Linked DNA regions of Oryzias latipes. The protein of the gene in region 4 interacts with the protein of the main gene of each other region in a pairwise test. Links are inferred from orthologs where the notes say so. Each region holds a gene or a part of one and is shown on either strand. Other genes may lie near its edges.

Region 1 (3,500 bases), on a different chromosome or scaffold from region 4:
TGTGTAAGTGATCCAGCTGGGATTTAGAATCTGGGAGGGTTGATAGTGCTTTCTAAAAAGCCCTTCTCCAAGTACATGTGTTTCTATTTAAAGACTGAAGTAGCTCACCTCAAACTGAGGCCAGTTCATGGGCATACCAGGGCCGTGATTGAACCGGAACCATTTCAGGTCCTCTTCGACATCAGTAGCAGTGATTGTATCTGCCAATGTGTGGTAGATGGTCTGAAACCTACAGAGCAAGGAATACAATAGTGTTAACAAATATTTACATTTCTAAATGATATATATATATATATTTTAAAGATTCCAATTGATGCAACCCAAAGAGAATGCACTCTTGTTTGACCTGTGATTGGTCGAGAGGTCCAGGTGCTGCTTCACCTCAAGAAGCAGCTCTTTGAAAAAGCAAATTCTTTTGTCTTCAAACTGCTGCATCTGCTCAAACACCTGCTCCATGTTCTCCATATACTGAGGCGTCAACTTGTCCAGTTCCTCTAGAGACTTCTCATAACGTTCTTTAGTCTTAAGCAAAAGAGAAAAATATGACATAAGTGACAACAATTTCTAATGCAACACCCCAACACTAACATCTAATGACAAAAACGTGGTACAATACAGCTAAAACAATGGAGTATTAGGACCACCAATAGGAAGAGAAATGAACGTGTGAATAAAATCATAAGATTACGAGAAAAAAGTCCAAATATCAGAAGAATAAAGTTGTACAATTGGTAGAAAAAAGTCATACGACTATGAAAAAAAAAAAAATCAACAATTTATGATAATAAAACAGTAAATTTATGCTTTAAAATGTTTACAAGTAAAAAGGTCAAGCTTTTTAGAAAAGAAAATGTTCCTTTGGCTTTTAAAGGCAACCTGTTCTATTTATGTAGCGGACAATTCAGAGAAATAAGATGGAGATCGAACAACTCAAGAATTTCATTGAATCTGCTTTACTTTTTTTTCTAAATGTACAACTTTATTTTCATGAAATTATAAACGTTATTGTTGTAAAAATTGGACCTTTTTCTCATATTTCTTTATTTTCCGTTTTGGTGGCTCTAATATTCCGTTGAACAGCTCGTGAATAACAAAAGCGCTTCAGAATTTTTTTTGTAAATACATACAGGAAGGCCCCACCTTCTGCACCTCCTGCTGACACTTCTCCACCTTTTCCTGGAGTTTCTTCAGAGTCTCAGGATTGTTGTTGCTCTCCAGCTTACTGTTGGATTCCCTGCTGGATGCCAACTTCTCTTCTTTACAGGCAGCGTGATACGTTTTCTTCATCGTCTCCACCTGCAAAGCAGTAAAACCTAAATAGATTAAATAGCAACAGCTTGAGAAGCAACAATAATCAGACGATATGTTTTTTACAGATTTCTTTAAAAATATATATATATATTATAAATATTACTTTAAAAAAGCTAGACTACATATTTTTACTACCCCGATATTCCTATTATTTCTCATTCTCTTTTTAATGAACCAATATTATATATCAGGTTTGGATCGTGACTGAAACCTTTATGTCCACAAATCTCTGTTTTTATTGTTATAGGGTCCCTAAAAACCAACAAAAAGCGCTCTGACCTGAATGATTAATTTGGACTTTTGTTTATTTTACAGCTCCTTTGTGGGAGAAGTTTTATGATTTATGATTTCATCACAGCAGTCGAGGAAACACAATTGTAATAGGCACTTGGGTTAGATTTGGAACAAAGCCAGAGTGGCTAAGCCCAATAAAAACACACAATCCAGAGAGAAGAAGACACCACGTTAATAATTTATGGTCCAATTCTTTCACATACTTAAAAACAAACTAGTGTACCCCTAATTGTAAGGAAAAAGGGGGATAAATTTGCCACGCCCATGAGGGCTATGAAATACTTTATCGACACTCCCAACTCGTCATCCATGTCACTTAGTTAATTAGCCTAATTTCCTCTGTGTCCTTCACTGCTTGTTTTTATCCGTCTGCTCAGTCAATAAATCAATAATGTCACAAAACTATTCTGTTCTGCCCTGCTCAATGACACGCCAGGATACCACCCTGTGACAACACACAGACAGGAAATAGGGGCAAAGCTTGAAAGTTGCAACATTACTGGCTGGTTTTGAAATGGTATGTGGTTCTACACGAGCACAGAAATGAAACTGAGGGCAGACTCCTGACAGAAGCTGCTTAAGGAGTTTCTCTACAGGAAATGACACAACTTTGACCGAGTAAGAGTTTGCCTCGTGGCCAATCCTCACATTTCCTTCTCTATAACTGACTCAGAAGTATGCAGGGCAGATGGACGACAGCAGAGAGATCATTTGTCAAGAGTAGGGCTGTAGTGAGTATCTGAATAACCAGATAGGTGCAATCATTTCCTGAAAACTTCCGTTTGAATATTTATAACGTTCAAGACTGCCTATTTGCGATCTTTATAAATATAGGAAAGTCTAGTAAAATACACTTCAGACAATTATTGCTCTAAAACGGCAGAAAAATGAATAATTTTAACAAGCGGAATGCGCTACTGTCATCAGAAGTAAAAAATTATTCTTCAGTGCCGGTGAAGGTTGCCATTTTCTAAACAAACTATCAAGTGTTTTCTAAAAAAATAAAAATTCGATAAAAATAATCAATTGAAAAAAAATTAGAAGTATAGTTTACTGAAAATTATTTTTTATTATTTTATTATTTGAAAAAATAAATAGAATGAATATGAATTTACTACAAATATCTGACTGATATGACGTCATATTACCGTCAGCTAGCATGGCAGAGAAGACGTAATGGAACGTCTCCGTAAAATGTTCATCCTAAAAGTGTCCACGTTTTTTATTTGTTACTTTTTGCTAAAGAGGAGAAAAAGTCTGTTTATAAAACACTTCTGCATTCAAAACTCATGTTCACGTGTAGCTATGAAGGTTTTTATGACCATTTGTGGTCTCTACATACAACATGCGTGACCGTTATGAAGGCAAAGCCATGGAAGGAAAGAATGTAATGTTGAATCAACAAAACGGAATCATAGGAACAGAGATTAATGCATCGTCACCAAGACTAACTTGACTAATATTCAGATATAAATGCAATCGAAAATAATAGAAATAAATGCAAACTTTTATTATTAACATTTGAAAAGTAGAGATTTGTACCTCTTTTAGTTTCTTGGCCCAAGGTTTCTGTGCTTTGCGGAATCCATCGTCAGCTTCTTTAGTCTCCTTAAAGCCACCGATCATCTGTTTGTGGTAGGCGTCTTTCTGCCAGTTCTTCAGCTTCTCGTAGTCTTCGCCCATCAGTTGAGCTTTCACCTCCATGTGGAGCTCGCTAACCTTCTCTGCCTCGGTGCACAAGGCCGCCCATGCTCGCTCCAACGAACCGTACTGAGGGCCTACAGACAGATTTAGAAATGAGCCTAGAAGGATATCTGCTCACAAACACTTTCAATGGAAAATTATCTCCTTTTTTTCATGGTCTCTACCTTTCTCTATGAGTTGCCGCCAACGTT
Region 2 (3,449 bases), on a different chromosome or scaffold from region 4:
ATCCATGGACACCAGTGAAGATCACAAATCATTGAAGAAAAAAGGTTCAGAGCACTGTCTAGTGGGTCTAGATGACCCAACTCCCAATGGTAAAGTGCCTAGGATAGCACAAGGGTTAAAGATGCCATCTTCTTGAAATTACAATTGATCCAATTATAAATATATTTGCACTTATAACACAATAAATCAATTAAATAAAATATGGAATAGAGTTAGAATGCTGCTTGAAAGGGAATGGGAAGAAGCAATTGATTTACTTAACTTTTCTTTTTTTACACACTTGTCATTCATTTCTAAATATTTTTAAATTTCCTAGTATTTTTTTTGTCCAAATGCAGGATTTTTATGCAACTATCTGCCTCTTCCCTTGAAGACATCAACACTGAAAGCTAGATTAGCTGGGAGTCATTTTAAAATGTCACCACATTAAATCATTTCTGTTGCTGACGTCTCATTTCTGTCTTCTCATCCGAAATGAAAAAATATAAATTGCTGCAGAGAAGGATGCCCATGGTAATGTTTATTGATAGTTTATAACTGTACATACATCTGTTCATGAGTCATTTACATGTTTTCCACACGCACGCACACACTCACACAAATAACTCTCAAGGTTATATAAAAAGGACTCGCGTTCTGTGCAGGAATTATTCAGACCTATGAGGACCGTTTGTGTCTGCATCCATCATGCACTCCCACCAATAAATGCATATGGCCTTTGTGCTGTGATTTACAGAGCAGAAAGTGACAGATCAACTGATGCATGTGTCTGTGTGGCTTGGTGTGTGTGTGTGGGTGTGTGCGTGCGTGTGTGTGTGTGCTTCCATCACCATTTGAACAGAAAGAAACCTTCATCTCTATTCCATCCTGGAGTTGTGTTTTTACTCGTGCGATTGTGGACGTGACATTTAAGTCTTTCGATGCTACATTTGATTTTTTTAATTTTTAATTTCCCCTGAGTGACCACAAAACGATATGATCGAAGACACATTTCCAGCTGACAGTAGAGTTTAAAAAATTTCCGCGTCAGCTCGGCACCAAAATGGCACTTTTTGCTATAGAACACCAAACTGAAAAATGATCTAACCTGTACCGTCAGCGGGAAACACGGCTGTAGTTCAAATGTGGAAGAACCGCAGTCTCTTATGTATAGATGTAGAGCTAAGGGAACAAACAAGGTCCAATTATAACTCAAAGTAAGATCTGTGCATTTGTTCAGACAGATTTAGTTGTAGAAATTGTTGAATTTATCAGGAGCCTCTTTTGTTAGTATTTTTGTACCAATTTCAACCATGGGTGCAGGAATTGTGTTAATAAAGTTATTTTTTAGATTCCACACATTTCTAAGAGGATTATCTGCATTTCGATTATCTGCCAGATTAATGAAAAAGTGGCAGCAAAAAGAGAAAAACATAAAATATACATTTAATTTGATGTATAGAGACTCTTAACTTTGAAACCAATGAGACCAATCTTCTGAAGGAGTGAGGCTTTGTGAGCGGCTGTTGACATTTTACCAGATTATTTTATGATATAATAGTGAATATAAACAAATGCACAGTTAAAATTAAAATAAAATCACCTAAAGATGGACACAATCGGTCATGGCCAGGAGAGATTTGAAAGGAGTAACCCTGCTTTAAAGCACAGACTCTGACTCCATGTCTGATTTGTCAAGTTTGTTTTTAACCATTTAGACTCACACACACTCACACACACTCTCACACACACACACACACACACACATACATACTAGCATCAACTTGCATCCATAAAAAAAGTCCAAAAACAGAAGGGGGGTTGGGGTTTGTCCCCATCACCAGTGGTTTGCTCGTATGAACTGAAAAAGTTCCACTGCGTGACAGAAAGCGGCTCCCAGGCAGCCGGTTCATCAGCAGCACTGAGACGAGGGTTAGAAACCCAAACTGCCCGTAAACTGTGCAGCACAGAGACCCTCTCAGACTGTGCTCAGTGCAGTCAGAGTGTGCGATTGTCGCTGGTCTGGGGGTGGGGGGGCACAATGACGTGTGCAGAGACGGGAGAAGGCAAAAGGGTTTCCTGGGAGAAAAGTTTGGATTAGGGGTTAGCAGGTCGTCTCCGTTGTTTTGATTTAACTCGTCTCAAAAACACAGATTTGTGTTTTTTGTTGGTGGAGCGGAAGCGATTTGCTTCGCTGTGGTCTGACTGTGCCGTGTGCTTAAGTTAGCAAACATTCATACAAATGAAAAATTTTTCCAGTCGCTTCTCTCAGCAGTGAACGTCCTTCTCCGGTTTCAAAGCTGGACGCTGTTCCGAAACGGTCTTTCCTCCTGTGGGTGGGTGTTTGCACTCGTCAACGGTGAACCAACACGATCGAGGCTCAACTGTAGAATTCTCTCCAGTAAAAAAAGGATAGCTGGATCTGTAAACAAGGATTTATGTAACCCATGTGCAATTGAGGCCTGGAGAGAAAAGAGGGGGGGCTATGTAAACACAAATACTGGAGTATTTCGGGGGGGGGGGGGGGGTTGTAATGCAGTTGCTTTATAGCCACTGGGGGCTCCGTGCCAGAGAAGGGCAGCAGTGGGGGCTTCAGATGAGCAAAACCCTTTTAGTCTGGTCTGAAGATCGGGATCTTAGGTAGGAACTCTATTAGAATCACCTGCAGGCAGGAAAAGAAGCAGAATCTAAGTGATGACAAAGAGGAAGTCTTCATCCTGAAAGTGCTGGAACGTCTTTTATGTTGGTTCTACTTGGATTTGTCCCAAATGGATTTGTTTAAAATGTGTGCCCTGATGTAAAGCAGATCCAAATATACTCACAAATTCCATCATGTTGTTTGTTTCACACTTCCTTTTGCTAAGTTTCCAATGCAAACACAACTGTAAACAAAGCCAGCAGAGGAAGTCAGAGCTACACAATGACACATACACAAACACACAGAGACATCCAACACACACCTTGTGGTAAAGTCTGCCGTTTTCCCACTCCAAAAGTTTCTCTAGCGATCTTCTCGTCTGGAAGACAAACGTTTATTTCGGTTTATTTCATGTTTGGTGAGGATTTGGTCTGACCCAGAAGTCAGGGACTAGTTTTTCATATTTTGACTTTTAACATGTCAGATAACTGAAAAAAATGATGGTTATAGGTTGAATATACAGTCAGAATAAGCTTAAAGCACGGATTCTGATCTTCTGCATTCATAAGTATGGATTTCTTTATTGGATTCTACACTAATGTTGTAATTTTTGTATTCACGGGTAAAAAGAGAAATATGATGAAGGCACACTTGAGTCGTCATGATAGAAAATGGCATGTTTGACTGGGTTTTCTTGCATTTTTAATTCAAGTTAATCTGCTGCAGCAGGAGGAGCGTATTTAACAACGGGTGTATTTTATTTTGAAAGAGACTTACATGTGCTGTTGTCAAAAGTAAAAGGAATTAAAAATGTCACGAACAGAAACATTTG
Region 3 (3,500 bases), on a different chromosome or scaffold from region 4:
CACAATTAAACTAAATTGAAACAATTTAATCATCTAAAAAGAAATAAAAGATTTTTGTTAAAGTTTTCAAAGACTTCAGCTTTGATTAAGACAAAAGAAAAACTAATAAAACTTCAACATGTTCACTTTTTGTGGAGCTACAGAAAACATCAATATAATGTTAGTTTTTGTGTAAAATGTATCAAACATATTGTGATCATATAATTGTTAAAAAAAATTACAGTTGCCTGTGCACTAAAATTGAAAAAAATATTTAAAAAAAAAATCACAATTTAGAAAGAATATATTTGTTTTTTGTGAGGTTATATAAAATTGCATGTTAATAAACTGAAGGGAAAAACAACTACCAGGGTAAAATTTCAAATAATTTAGTTGAAAATTATTACTGAAAACTAACTTAACTTTGATTACAACTTTTGGAAAAAAACATTGCAGAGGGACTGTCCATCAATACACACTGTGACTTTCTCCTTTTTTGATTTTTGGATGCTGGTAAGTGGCAGGATTTTTTTTAAGGATAAAAGGTATGGAGAGAAATTAGACTCAGTCGGATTTGTGCGTGCGTGATTCTTGATTTGTGCGTAAATTAGGATTTGTGCATAAATTTGGATTTGTGCGTGATTTGTTACTCACATAATACGTGTTGTGTATAAGTTAAAAAAATATAAAATGAAAAAAATACAAAATGCAATTTACGTATGCACAAATAAAGATTACAACAGCTTGAAACTACTTACACACACACATCTTTAAAAAACACGAACGAATCCATTGTTACGCACGGATCTACCGTGAGACTGTTTTCACGTCTCACAAATTCATCCGTAAGTGCTGCGTTTAAATACCAGTGGAATGCTCGGTCATTACAATTTTCCTATCAGCCTTCCCTTCTAAACGTATTTCCTTCAGTGGGTGTAGCAGGGCTTAAAAAAACTGTAAAGGAAAATAAAAATTATTATCTGAGAATATGACGTTCACTTTTAAACGCTAATATATATATTAAAAGTATATTATTCTCCGAGACACCGAATTGGAAGAATGGCGGCCCATCTCGGTGGTCAGAGCCCCGAAGTAAGTAGCCTCTATGTTCAACACTAACATCTACTGTCTTCATGTATTGATTGAGTCATTGTCTGGATACGTTTAGAAGGGATGATAGGAAAATTCTAAAGACCGAGCATTCCACTGGTATTTAAACGCAGCACTTACGGACGAATTTGTGAGACGTGAAAACAGTCTCACGGTAGATCCGTGCGTAACTTTGGCTTCGTGTGTGCATAACAAGGGATTCGTGCGTGTTTTTTAAAGATGTGTGTGTGTAAGTAGTTTCAAGCTGTTGTAATCTTAATTTGTGCATACGTAATTTGCATTTTGTATTTTTTTCCTTTTATAATTTTTTAACTTATACACTAAACGAACTATGTGAGTAACAAATCACGCACAAATCCAAATTTATGCACAAATCCTAATTAACGCACGCACAAAGCAAGAATATGCATACACAAATCCTAATTTACGCACAAATCAAGAATTACGCACGCACAAATCCGACTGAGTCTAATTTCTCTCCATAAAATGTGCCTTTGCTCTGAAAAGGTTGAAAAACACTGCTGTAGAGTACTGTATAACGCATTAGGAGTGTCTCTCTGAGTCTTAAAACCAGGAGTCGTGTTTCCTCCTTCATCAGTAAAGTGTGAGAGGTCATTTTCTTCCAGAGCTGAGTTTTAGGGAAGAACCAGAGGAGTCACAAGACTGAAAAAAAATCAGCGAATGCGTGAAACCGCAAATATTGAAACGTGAATACACTTTGATCTTTTGTAAAATCGTCCCCAGCTGTCTTTTGATTAGAATGATGCTGTTTTTAGCCCAAATAAAAAAACTGTCATTTTCTAAGACATAGTTTCTGCAGAGCAGCAGAAGCTCATCAGAATTTCACCTCTGAGTTGTTGGTATGGAGTAAGTCTGCCCAAATTTCCCATGATCCCTTTGTTTAAACACTCTCCCGCTAGCTTCTCTCTTTCACTGAAAACACCCCCCAAGCCATCAGGTAAAGGAGTCTAATGTAACATCCTGGAGGCTACTACCAAATCTGCCATTGATGCTAGCACACCCCAAGCTTTCTGCGACATTGTTAAAGAAGAATGGATGAAATTAAACTGACTATTTTGCCTGTTGAAATGCACAGTGTCACTGTCAAGCTACTTGATCACGAAGAGGGCTTGAACGACGTGAACACTCGCTTAAATGCTATGGAAACGGGCGTACGCAGAGCTAAGTCATCAATATAAGAAATTGCTCTTAAGAACTGATGACTTGGAAAACAGAGTAAGGCGGTGCAATATCTGCATTTTGGGTGTTCCTTTAGGAAATTGAACAGGAAAACCTAACCAATTTTGTCTCTGGCTTACTACATGAAGTACATGGTGGTCCTGGTGGTTTGGAGAAGCCGCTGGTCCTGGACCAGCGGTCCAGGACCAGCGGCTTCTGTAGGTACTGGAGCTGCAGGCCTAACGGCGACCATGTCCCACTATCGTTTGGATTAATCACCATCAGGAGAAGGAGCGCATACAGCATCATCCCAGACAAAAAGTCCAACTGGCGTTTCAAGGAAAGCAGATTCTAACCTTTCCAGACTAAAGTTCTGACCTAACCAGTGTGTACAATTATACACCATTCATTTTGAAAATGCATTTTTATTTATTCATTATACAATATTAAAAAATGACATTTCAATGCATGGTTTGCTTTCAATTCATTTTAAAGTTACTATTGCATTGTAAAAGGCTTTTTGTGTCAACATTCAAATGAAATTGTAAAACAGCGCCCCCTGGTGTAATGCCTTTGAAACGCAAACTGTCAGACTCCTTAGGGCGGGGCCTACCACCTTTATGAATTGGCTGAGTCCCACCTCCAACTTCCTAATTGTGTGTCGATGAGTGTCATTTCTAACAGAGGATGGAAGAGCTTTCCTCCTCTCAGCTCCAAACACAAAAGTTACTGTAAAATAGAGTTTTTGATGGAGATGTATTTATTTTGTGATCCTTTTCCTGCCAGGCTGTAATGGTGCTGGAGAACAGGGAGGTCCAGAGCGAGCCGGTGAAGGAAAAGATCCAGCCTGCACTGCTGCCTCTCTACCTGAACCTTTCCCTCACAGAGCTCCGTCTGGAAAACTGGCACAAAGCCCTGAAGTACACCACCAAAGCCTTGGAGATGGACTCTTTGAACACAAAGGCTCTCTTCCGCTGTGGACAGGTCAGTCAGAAGAGGCTTCGTCAGCTGCTGAGTTAATGTTCTCCCTTAGTTTTAGAGCAGTGGAGGTTCTTCCAGTGGCAAAGAACTTTATTTTGAAAGGATTTGGAACTGTTCTGGATGTGTCCCGCTTTCATTCAGATAAAATGATCTGTCTTAAGGCTTACCTGGAACTGGGGGACTTTGAGAATGCTCTGAAGTTCCTGAAAGCTGCTCAGGCCAAAAAACCCTATGACACCGACATCAACAAT
Region 4 (4,126 bases):
GCACAAACTGGGCGCACCCGGATGGCCCAGGTCAGAGGGCGCGGGCCCGCTGTCGTGGGGTGCGTGTGAATGCGGGTGGCAGAGGCCGTGGCGCGCGCCGCCGCCAGGCGACGGCATCGGCGGGACGTGCCACGAGGTGTGGTGCTGAGGCGGGGGGTGATGCTGCTGCTGGGGGGTCAGGTGGCCACGGTGGGGGTGGTGGGGGTGCTGCCCGTGAAATAGGCCGTCGTCGGCCGGGTAGCTGGAGATGACGCACGGCGAAGGTGAGGAGGTGGAGGAGGAGGAAGACGAGGAGGCCAGGTCGGGGTAGGAGATGTGGTCCGAGCGTCCGTGCAGAGTCAGGGGAGACTGGGTGAAGGCGGAATGGAGGGCCTGCGGCGGGGCGTGGGGGCTCCGCAGGCAGCTGAACAGAGCGTGATCCATGGCGCCCCACCAGAGGAGACAGAGGGGGGTTGGACGTGAAGGAGCTCAACCAGCCAGAGGAAAAACAAACGTAAATCCCAGATGCTGCTCCTTTTCCCCGTACTCTCCCCAAACTTCTCCTGCAGTCAAAGCTCTGAAATGTGGCGTCCTGCGGTAATCCGGAGCGTGCGGCCGCTTGCCAGGCTTCACAGGGTAAACAGTTATCCCGGGACGGGCTGCAGCTGAGCCTCTCAGATGTCAGGAGGAGCAGGGGGCTGGAGCTCCAGCCTGGAAGCACGAGGAGGTTCGGAGGAACTGCAGAACGAGGGGAGCCGGCTGAGGGGATGTTATAAATAGGGTGTAACGTGAGAGGGAGGCTGGGTCCTAGACTGCAAACGCGCTCCTGACCACATACACGCCATCACCCTCCAAAACGCAAAGCACAATAAACGTGTGGCGTTAAAGCGGCCGAGGACGGAAAGACGGCGCTTCACTTTGGACCTGACCTCCGCTGGCCTCTCGGCGTTCTTTGAGATCCTGATGGTTCGTGGGCGGAGCTGGCAGGAGGTCACACGGGGGGAAAGTGGGACACCATGCAGAGGTTGGGAGGTGTCAAGGGTTAATTTGCCCCGCCCCCCTCTGTTTGTCAGGTTTGACCTCTTTAAAAAAGAACTGTGTGGATGCTGGCGGAGATGCTTGTTGTCTCCATTAGCCGCTTCCTGCGAGCATTGTTCTGAGGGACGATGGAGTCCGGAGCGGGCCTGGCGTGCCAAACACGTCCAGCGCCGTCCCGAAAGGAAGCTGCAACATTTAAGTCATGACCTGCTGCACCTGAAACACCAGAAAAGTTCGGCTTTGATTAAAAAAAAAAAAAGTTTTTGAGATGAAGTATGTTTCAAAAACATTCAGAACTTCTGCTTTGGATCAAACCCCCGACATCCACGTCTGCTGCATCCCGACCCGGGGAGGAAAATGGGTCGGTCCCGGTCAGAACAGCAGCACAAAAACTCCACGAACTACAGCAAAACCACAAAACACGGCTTTAAGTTTAGTGTACGCTCAATTCAAGACAAAACTAACTAACTAGTAACTTTCCTGTAACAATTTATTTAAATACAATAAAACCCGAATATCTTGAGTCTCCAGAAAACATATCTAATGAAATTAAGTTTTTACTATTTGCTTGATTTAAAGAAAACTGGAAAGTCTCATTTGACTCATAAAACACACATTTGTCAAGACAAAGTTAGCTTAAAATGTATTTTGCTCTCATAACAAAGACAACACATCAAATTTAGTGTTTATAGATCATTTCAGGCCTAATGTAGTCTCTAAGGCAGAACAACCCAACCTACTAAGAACAAAGTTTTCTAGTTTCTTTCTAGAAGAACATTTTTTCCAGTGCATGAATTTATCTTGAGCTTTTACAAACTAAAAGTCTTGAAGTACCACTTTTATTGAAATCTCTTGAGAGTTCAGTCTGGGAGTTTTCCGTTAGAAACAAAACAGATTCAAAAAGTTCAGGGGTGAATCTGACAGGACTGAATCTGGATTTAGAGCGGCCTCTCTGACTGTTGACTCCGGACTCGAACCAGCCGTTTCCTCACAGCTGCTTTTCATAAAGCAAAGTCGCCAAAGTCCTGTCTACCAGCCGGGGTGGGGCGTCTGTACGCAAAGCGCCACCCTTAAACCCGGCTGAGGACTTATCTGACAGATGGATCCCTGTTTCTAAGCATGGACCTGTTTCAGGTCAGCATCCGTGACCTGTGGTGCGCCTCAACAATCCGGATGCAGGTCCTCTTCCGGTTTCACTGTTTTATTAACATTTCAAAATAACAAAAAGAAAAAGTCCACATATGCAGATGATGCTGAGATATATTTTTATCTTCTATCTTCCCCTGCCCTTCAGTTACTTTTATGAAAACAAAGCTGTAAATTTCCAATCTTTTAAATTAAATTTATAGAAAACCATATGGAGAAACGGGTGTTATTCTTTTATTACTTTCGACGTCAATCTGTGCTCCACATCAGCGTTTATCCATGGAGAACGTTAGAAAACGCTTAACTCACTTCGGTTTTTGTTTTTTTAAATTTCAGACTGAAGTGCTGCGTCTCGGACGACCCAGAGTCAGAAATCACAGAGGTGGTTCATAGAAAAACTGAATTCAGACTTTAGACTCCTCAACGCTCCTGTAATGCCATGCTGTTGGTTCCAAAATGTCCCGAAACATTTCCGTGGTTTTTGTTTTCTAGTTGGTTCTTTTTTTGTGGTTGTATTCAAAAAAACGACTCGATGCTGTTGAGTTTTCCCTGTTTTTCTTATGAAACGCCTATTATGGTTTAATAAATAAAACCAAATTTGTAAATGTTAATAGTTTGAATGTTTGTTCTGCCTTTATGATGTCTTTAACAAACCCAGTTGGGGGGGGGGGACTGTTTTTCTCAAATAATTTTTACATCTTCTGCTGCTGACATTTTTCCAAATATTTTAATAAAAATATCTTTTAGTAAAAGACTTCGCTAAGGATCTGCTGCTCATAAAGCCGTTTTAGGCATTTTTAAGTCAAAAACGTTTGACTTAATAATGTTTTTGACTTCCAAAGAAGAAGACAAGGAGGGAAAACAATGAACCAGACCAATTCTAAATATGGCTTTGTTTGTTTTTATTAAAAGTCGTGTTAGCTTTTGGAAAATTAAAGTTCCTTCTCAGAACTACTGTTGTCAATTCTTTGAGAAATAAAAAAAATAAAACTTTGTGAGACGTTAGTTTTGTCCTGAAAGTCCGGGCAGAACAGAAACCAACCGGAGCTGCCGTTGGATCAGAAATGACAGAAACAGAAAAATCCTTCCTGTGAACCAAACTCTCCGCCCTTCCTCTCAGCGCTCTGCGTAAATCAAAGGCATTTACTTTACAGATTAGCCTCAAAGAATAGATAGAAAACAAATAAAATTGATGGCGGTTTCAGAGAACTCGCAGCTCCGAGACGTTTTACGGGGGGAGCGCTCACAATAACTGCCCGCTCTGGGGAAGGACTTGGCCGGCCCACAGCCTGAGAAAGGAAATTAATTCCTCTTTGAGAGAAAATGACTTTAACAGATAGCTCAGCGGAGACAGGCGGTAACTCTGCTCCCCGCGCCCCCCCAGGCCTTCTGAAGGCAGCGGAGGAAAGGCACCTTCACTGAGTGAGCGTCAAACTCTTCTACTGTTTATCTTACAAATAAAGGCTATTAGCGGGTTAGTGCGGGTCGTATATCTGCCTGGACTGAGCAGGTATGGCCGCACACGTGTTTTCAATCCGTCCGGGCTGTGGGCTGCACCCGCCTTACAGACGCTGCACCAAAGCCTGAAAGGTTTCGGCGTGTGAACGTGGACACGTCCACCAGGTTTTACTCTTTGAAATCACCTCAATGCATTCTTTGAAAAGTGGCTTCGACTGCAGCGACACAACCGTCAGACGACCCCCGATGGCCCCCGACGCCATTTGTTTTTCCAGCTCCTCGCGTGACGACACGTGAAATGACACAGGGGGCCACGGGGGTAAGGACCGGAGCACAGGGGAGGTGAAGGAGGGCATGTGATGATGACCTTATAGGTGGACCTGCTGCTAAAACCTGTGGCTGTCACTCACACGGGTGGGAGGGGTGGCGGCGAGCGCGGCGTGCGGCAGCTCTGCAGACCCTTCTAAGAAAACGGAGCTTCAGTTCAACTGTCGGTGTTTTAAAA

The links. The genes of interacting proteins can lie anywhere in the genome.
Region 1: the proteins of meox2 (region 4) and pacsin2 interact in binary tests that used the Homo sapiens proteins (3 or more experiments, as listed by UniProt). The two-hybrid records come from large-scale screens. The link is inferred for Oryzias latipes from reciprocal best matches to the Homo sapiens genes MEOX2 and PACSIN2.
Region 2: the proteins of meox2 (region 4) and chic2 interact in binary tests that used the Homo sapiens proteins (3 or more experiments, as listed by UniProt). The two-hybrid records come from large-scale screens. The link is inferred for Oryzias latipes from reciprocal best matches to the Homo sapiens genes MEOX2 and CHIC2.
Region 3: the proteins of meox2 (region 4) and fkbp6 interact in binary tests that used the Homo sapiens proteins (3 or more experiments, as listed by UniProt). The two-hybrid records come from large-scale screens. The link is inferred for Oryzias latipes from reciprocal best matches to the Homo sapiens genes MEOX2 and FKBP6.

The regions. Positions count from the first base shown.
Region 1 is NC_019881.2:17,467,616-17,471,115, forward strand, and holds part of pacsin2 (protein kinase C and casein kinase substrate in neurons protein 2), read right to left. Parts: coding exon 3,474-3,500; intron 3,384-3,473; coding exon 3,148-3,383; intron 1,297-3,147; coding exon 1,141-1,296; intron 523-1,140; coding exon 347-522; intron 230-346; coding exon 109-229; intron 1-108.
Region 2 is NC_019859.2:11,120,592-11,124,040, reverse strand, and holds the end of chic2 (cysteine-rich hydrophobic domain-containing protein 2), read right to left. Parts: intron 2,997-3,449; coding exon 2,940-2,996; intron 2,862-2,939; coding exon 2,802-2,861; intron 2,642-2,801; coding exon 2,591-2,641; 3' UTR 501-2,590; downstream 1-500.
Region 3 is NC_019882.2:22,093,418-22,096,917, reverse strand, and holds part of fkbp6 (inactive peptidyl-prolyl cis-trans isomerase FKBP6), read left to right. Parts: intron 1-3,054; coding exon 3,055-3,252; intron 3,253-3,410; coding exon 3,411-3,500. UniProt on the Homo sapiens protein: Has an essential role in spermatogenesis. It is required to repress transposable elements and prevent their mobilization, which is essential for the germline integrity.
Region 4 is NC_019874.2:31,204,053-31,208,178, forward strand, and holds the start of meox2 (homeobox protein MOX-2), read right to left. Parts: upstream 2,801-4,126; 5' UTR 424-2,800; coding exon 1-423. UniProt on the Homo sapiens protein: Mesodermal transcription factor that plays a key role in somitogenesis and somitogenesis and limb muscle differentiation. Required during limb development for normal appendicular muscle formation and for the normal regulation of myogenic genes.